2 linked regions of the Danio rerio genome follow. The protein of the gene in region 2 purifies or fractionates together with the protein of the main gene of each other region. This does not show direct contact. Links are inferred from orthologs where the notes say so. Each region holds a gene or a part of one and is shown on either strand. Other genes may lie near its edges.

The links.
Region 1: the proteins of tesk1a (region 2) and rabepk purify together in Homo sapiens (affinity purification with mass spectrometry; 3 studies listed by BioGRID and IntAct, with this or other methods). This does not show direct contact. The link is inferred for Danio rerio from reciprocal best matches to the Homo sapiens genes TESK1 and RABEPK.

The regions. Positions count from the first base shown.
Region 1 is NC_133180.1:2,011,554-2,015,175, forward strand, and holds the end of rabepk (rab9 effector protein with kelch motifs), read right to left. Parts: intron 1,927-3,622; coding exon 1,777-1,926; intron 980-1,776; coding exon 780-979; 3' UTR 735-779; downstream 1-734. UniProt on the Homo sapiens protein: Rab9 effector required for endosome to trans-Golgi network (TGN) transport.
Region 2 is NC_133176.1:43,314,147-43,317,982, forward strand, and holds part of tesk1a (dual specificity testis-specific protein kinase 2), read right to left. Parts: coding exon 3,769-3,836; intron 3,688-3,768; coding exon 3,604-3,687; intron 1,564-3,603; coding exon 1,477-1,563; intron 1,366-1,476; coding exon 1,269-1,365; intron 1-1,268. UniProt on the Homo sapiens protein: Dual specificity protein kinase activity catalyzing autophosphorylation and phosphorylation of exogenous substrates on both serine/threonine and tyrosine residues.

The sequences.
Region 1 (3,622 bases), on a different chromosome or scaffold from region 2:
GGTGAGTCTGTGTGAATTGTAGCCTCAGTTTCCTGTTCTTAGCTGACAGGAGCGGCACCCGGTGTGCTCTTCTGCTGCTGTAGCCCATCCGCCTCAAGGTTGGACGTGTTGTGTGTTCAGAGATGCTCTTCTGCAGAGCTCGGTTGTAACGAGTGCTTATTTGAGTTACTGTTGCCTTTCTATCAGCTGGAACCAGTCTGGCCATTCTCCTCTGACCTTTGGCCTCATCAACAAGGCATTTGCGCCCACAGAACTGCCGCTCACTGGATATTTCCTCTTTGTCGGAGCATTCTCTTTAAACCCTAGAGATGGTTGTGCGTGAAACTCCCAGTAGATCAGCAGTTTCTGAAATACTCAGAGCAGCCCGTCTGGCAGCAACAACCATGCCACGTTCAAAGTCTCCTAAATCCCCTTTCTTCCCCATTCTGATGCTCGCTCTGAACTGCAGCATATCTTCTTGTCCTGCTGCCATGTGATTGGCTGATTAGATTCTTAACGAGCAGTTGGACAGGTGTACCTAATAAAACGGCCGGTGAGTGTATATTCAAAGGTTAAAAAAGTGCAACATCTGTGTATTTAAAGTGCACTAAATATGTAAATGCACTGCTTATACTACAAAATGGGTAATAAGTATGCGATTTGGGATCCACTTCTGGAAATTCAGCTTTATAGTCATCAGGGAAAATGAGGGAATCTGACATCTAGTTTAGAGCGGGAGGCCTGTGGACATGAAATGAAGCGGTTTGAGGATTTATTTATTGAATATTAAAGCACACTGGTCACGTCAGCACAGTAACAAGGCAGTCGTTGAATATGACGCCCTGAGTGTCCATTCCTCCAAAGACAAAGCACAGATGCTGAACGTCTGCATGTTCGCTGTCCTCCATCTTTACTCTCCACGGCAGTAAACACATGGAGTGATCCAGCCGACCCGGAGGAAGATCCCCCTCAAACTTCAGCAGAGTCCAGCGCTGTTTATCTGAGGAAGAAACAACAAGCAGAACATGAGGGAAAATTGATGATAGGCTGTTGATTAGTAAATAATAATACCTTTTAAGACCTTTTTTTAAGACTCCATACATTTAAAAGGGCACCTATTATGCAAAATTCACTTAATGAGGGGTTTAAACACAGTTGTGTGTGAATATCTCCAGCAGCATCTAATGCTCAACAGTAATTAATTGAGTTTGTTCTAATCAGACTTGATGAGTGAAACACTGTGATTGACATTCTCCCTTTGTACGTGTCATCAGAGGGGGAAAGCCCCGCCCACTAGTGCCCATCTCTCCATCTCATTAGCATCTCCAGCAGCCCTGAGTGAGAAGCAGCCGTCTGTCCATTAGCCATTAGAGTGTTTGAGCTGCTGAAGATAATGTCAGCATAGACTAAGAGGATTATAGATGTGGAGTTTTAGATAGAGGAGCCACATAGACTGACAGAAGCATCAAGCACACACTCACACTGAAGCACACATAACACACACACTGCTGTTTACATCTGTCACTATGCTCATGCATATGCATCTGTAGCTCCACTCTCTTCTGAAAAGAGCAGAATCTCATTTGCATTTAAAGCGACAGTCACCAAAACACCACGATTAGTATCGAAGCCTGAAAGGGTCAGTTTCAGAGAGCTGGAGAACATCATCTGTGTAATATTTTGAGCTCAAACTTCTCTACACACACTTTAGAGACATTATTTGGCATCTTATTTTACAAAAGGGGCATAATAAATCCCCTTTAAAGAAAAGCTGGTCATATTGTGATGCTATCGTACCGCATTGAAACTTAAACATGGAGTTTGTGGCTCCGTCTGCCGTCATTCCTCCAAAGATGAAGATGTTTTTGTTGAATGTTACAGATGAATGAGCTGCGACTCCGGGTGGGAGATCACCTTTAGCCTTCACCTTCTGCCATTTCAGAGACTCTGGAGAAGAAAAGACAATGATAACATGCAATGAGGTATCATTTATACAACCTTACTTCCAATCCTTCTATCAGTTTTACTCTGCAATTTCTTTTTCAATGCGTTTATCTATTTATTTTAAAGTACACATGAAATCAAAGCTAGCCACAGTGATGTTGTTAGCTCTCATCGCTAGTTTAGTGCTGAACAATTCATCTGTGCATGTCATTAAGAACAGTAGTTTGCTCTTGTAATCTTTAATTGAAATCTGCAAATGCACTTCCTGTATGTTTTCAGTTCAATTCTCAGATTAGGTCTGTCCAAGGAATTGGGCGTGGCTATCATACTTAACCACGCCCCTCCAGTTGTCAGTTTTGATATCAAACAGTAATGATGAGCAGGAGGAGTCTGTTAGGTTGTAATAACTCTCCCCACGCCCTTTTACCCATCTTTCTGAATGAAACGCCTACCTTAATACATCCAATCAGCTCACAGTAGAAAAAACAAGCCACGCCCACTGTTTTCTCATTTAATATTCTATTTCTCTAGAAACACTGTCTTTTAATATGCCATTAAATGATTCTTGATCTAAATATAATTTATTATTTTAATCTAAACATAACATATTGGATAAACTGTTGTTATGCTCATTATTATTATTGTGGTCTCTTGTAACAGAATGAAATGTCTGTCACTTGTAATGAAAGGAAAATACTTTTCTAAGGGATACTACAGGGCACTAGATGGCGCGGGTGAGATACATAGAGGGTATAAAGTTTGAGAAGAAGAAGAGGAGAGAAGTTAGTGTTTTTATGGAGCACATGAGCTGCGTCCCAAATCGCATACTTATGCACTATTTTACGCCATTTTGTAGTATAAATAGTGTAAGTAGTGTGTTCACATTGAAAACTCTCAAAATAATAAGTGCACTTTAATTACCCGGATGATGCACTCATTCAGCCGCTAAAATGAAGTGTGTAATGATGGACACTTCACGCACTAAACGACCGCAGGTTTGCTTACGTAGCGGAAGGGGCGGAGCGATCGGACGCACGTGTTGAATAACTTTATTTATTTTGGATAGTGAAAGCAAAATTCTCCTACGAGAGTGATTATAGCGCCTCCGGATGGTAAATGCGGCAATACTCACGGCAGGTATTACTTGATAATTCAGTCGTTTATTTCACTGATTTGCAACAGTCAAACGTCATCAGGGAAACGGTTTGAATTTCCGCTTAGTAAAAAACATTAGTGTGCCATTTGGGACAGCACTACATACATATACTATCCTGTTGAGTGTGTAAGTGCATAAGTACATAGTGCATGAGTGCATAGTGTATAGTGTGCCATTTGGGACGCAGCTATGGTTCTTTGAGGCTACTTCAAACCAAGCGGCAACCTCCCGCTCTCCCTCAGGAAGCCAATACGGAAGCAGTGGCATTGCGAGGGGGGGGCTTTGGGGGCTTAAGCCCCTGATGTATTGTCAAAAGCCCCTGATCTTTTGCAATGTGTTGCACTTAAATAAAAATATAAGTATATATAATAAATAATATATAAGTATATATAATGGTGTAAAACAATTAATTTGTTATCTAAGTACTGAAAATTACGGCGTACATCACGCACATTCCACCTCACGCAGTGTTTGTGTCCGGTCAGCTGTTCAGCAGTACCTGTATCTACCGGCAGGTGGGAGTGGCACTGTTGTCACATGATG
Region 2 (3,836 bases):
CATTAATATCATTAACTGTTTTAAACTAATTATTTGTATTATTTTTATAATTTATTTTTAATGATTATAAAGATATGTGTAACAATTCAAGATTTTTAAATCAAACTTTAATCCATCACTTGCTTTTGTTCATATCTCAGACAGTTTTACCTATTAAAGTTTATTTAAATATTAATGACGAGAACAAATATACAAATATATCTTTTATTATGGCAAGAATAAAAGCAAAATAGGTACACTTACTAAAAAATACAGACTTTTTTAGATTTAGCCCACTCCACAATTGACACATTACTGTCTGGCTAGTTTTTGTCCTCTACTTATGCAAAAAGGCAATAATGGTCCAACATTTCTGACCATTATCTCCAATAAAGCCTAGAAAAACAGGGCTTCAGCGTATTGTAAATGGATAGGTTCAAATATTCCTTTCCAGTTATAAAATAAACAATTTGTTCCTTAATTATATTTTTGTAATTAATAAATTGTTTTAAATGTAAAATTGTAATATATAGCTGCATCAATGTAAAAAAAATGGTGGAAAAACATATTTCTGTAATTGTTTATTAAAACCACCTGGGTCTCTACTTTTGCCATGGCCTCGCTTGACTTAAACTTATCCCTCAGGTTTTTCCGAACTTTTACAAAAGCCATCTTCCTTTTCAACGACTGTTGCAATTTCTAGCCAAGAATTATTGATCATCTGGTTATCCCTATGATTCTGCATGGACCACATCATAAAGATGTCTGTACAGTCGTACGGTTTCAGATAAAATATTCAACTCAAATCAAACACAGCACCGCACGAACTGCTTGCTCAAGTCTCAAAAAAATTTGTGAGCTCCGCCAGTGGAAATCATGTCGCGCATCCTCAAATCGAACCTCTGCAAACACAGCGATGACATCACATTTGCAGCACGCACTCAAGCAAACTAGCAGACACTTGGAGTATAAACCAGGCTTAAATGTTCTTAATGTGTAATTATAATGTAGTCACTTAGAAATCATTGGGTCATATAACCTAACTGCATTGATTAGAGTTATGTTCAGGGTTATGTTTAGTGATAGTAACTAGTTATTTCCCATTTTATGTAATGATATGGTAAGTACATAGTGCTTACCCGCAAAACTGTAAAACAGTGCAACCCAAAAACCCGAAAGTATCACAAATGTTCGAATATTTATGTCTGACTGAAAATGATAGTTATAAATACGAACTCATTCCACTCCAATATTACTGTCAACCATGATAGAATTTTACTTGTACTCACCCAGGATGACTGGAATTTCACTCTTCACTCGTTCTCTTTCTATCCTCTCGAGCATCACTACAATTTCAGAGAAGGCAGGACGACTGTCTGCATTCATCTATCACAGAAACATAATAACAAATATGAAAATGCAAATATAAAATAACTTCAGTACTTAACTCTGGGAATGTGAAATGTTAGTTTAATTGTCTATGGATATATAGCTTACATTGCAGCAGTCGACAGCCATTTGAAGAAATGAAGGTGGACAGTCTCCCACCATATGCTCAAATGTGTCCACATCCAGTCCAAAATCCTACAATAAGAAAAGTCATATTTCTTACAGTATGCACTACACTGGACAGACATCTTCAGACTTGCACCATTGCAGAAACAGCACAAACGATGTTGGATAATTATATAATATTATTAATATACAATTGGTTTGTACATTTTTTGCTTAAAAGAAACAATAACAGTGTATTTTTGTGGAAATATGCAACATGCTGCTTCTCCACCAGAGGGAGACAACACATTAAAACTGCAGAAGATTATTTTATTTAGATGTAGATTCATCACTGCATTACTTGGTTAATATAAGCACAAGTATAATGTAAATAATACCATAATACCCTGGAGCACAAATATCGACTTAAATTGCACAAGTATATTTTTGTCAATCATTCAAAATACATTGAATACATATAAAATCAAAATACATCTAGGTCAAAATTATTAATTTTTCTTTTTGTCAAATGTGATTAGTACAGTCATGTTTCATGAAGAACCATACAATGAACAATCCATACACCAATGGAAACCTTTTTATTAAGAATTATTATTATTATTAATCATTAAGAATTCAGGTTATATATATATATATATATATATATATATATATATATATATATATATATATATATATATATATATACACACACACACACACACACACACACACACACACACACACACACACACACACATACATATACACACTCACTGGTCACTTTATTAGGTACACCTGTCCAACTGTAAAGTTCTAATCAGCCAATTACATGGCAGGACCTCAATGCATTTAGGCATGTAGACATGTTCAAGATGATCTGCTGGAGGTTAAACCGAGCATCAGAATGGGGAATAAAGGTGATTTAAGTAACTTTGAATGTGGTATGGTTGTTGGTGCCAGATGAGCTGATCTAAGTATTTAAGAAACTGCTGATCTACTGGAATTTTCACGCACAACCATCTTTAGGGTTTAAAGAGAATGATGCGAAAAAGAGAAAATATCTAACAAGACATAATGGCCAGACTGGTTCAAGCTGATAGAAAGGCAACAGTAACTCAAATAACCACTCATTTCAACTGAGATATTCAGGAGACCATCTCCGAATGTACAACACGTCCAACCTTGAGGTGGATGGGCTACAACAGCAGAAGACCACACCGAGTGCCACTCCTGTCTGCTAAGAACAGGAAACTGAGGCTACAATTCACACAGGCTCAACAAAATTGGACAATAGAAGTTTGGACAAACATTGCCTGGTCCAATGAGTCACAATTTCTGCTCAGACATTTGGATGGTAGGGTTAGAATTTGGCGTCAACAAAAAAATATGGATCCCTCCTTAATTGTATCAATGGTTCAGGTTGGTGGTGTTGGTGTAATGGTGTGGGGATATTTTCTTGGCACACTTTGGGTCCATTAGTACCAATTGAGCATTATGTCAATGCCACAGCTTACCTGAGTATTGTTGCTGACATTCGCATCATGGATGTGCAGCCAATATGCAGCAACTGCTTGATGCTGTCATGTCAATATGGAGCAAAATCTCTGAGGAATATTTCCAGCCCCTTGTTAAATCCATGCCACAAAGGATTAGGGCAGTTCTGAAGGCAAAAGGAGGTCCAACCCTCTACTAGTAAAGTGTACTTAATAAAGTGGCTGGTGGGTGTATATTGTAAGTATACTTATGACTAGTTTTGTTTCATTTAATGCAATTTTAGACTATAAACAACAGACTTTCTGCATCAAGTAAACACATTAGTTATGCAGCTGTATAACCTATGGTACTGTACACTGACATAAACCTCTCAAAATTTAATTACACATCACAATGTCACATACTGCAAAATCTGTACTCAGGAGCTTCACATGTTATCCTATGCATTTACAGCCTGCAAGCCATGTGTTTGATTCCCCTGGTCTAAGACTTGCCCTTGATTAAATTTAGCTTTAAAATAATATTTCAAAGAAAATCTTATTTGCCTGACTCAAAGCTTGTATATTTGGTAAAGCACTGCTTGATTCTAAGCCTGATTCTGTGCTTCATGTTCTGCTGTACAGTTGTATGTACCTCTGTCCGTGGGAGGATATCTGGGTCAGCCTCAATTCGAGCAATAATCTCACAAAGGATTATTCCATATGCAAAGACATCCACCTATGATATGAAAACAGCGTAAATAAAGTGACACAAGCACACAAGCAAGAGTGTAATGCTGAGTTTTTAAAGGCAGAATACCTTCTCATTGTACAGCTCTCCTCTTAACATTTCTGGAGCCATCCAGTAGGGGGAGCCCACAACGGCTA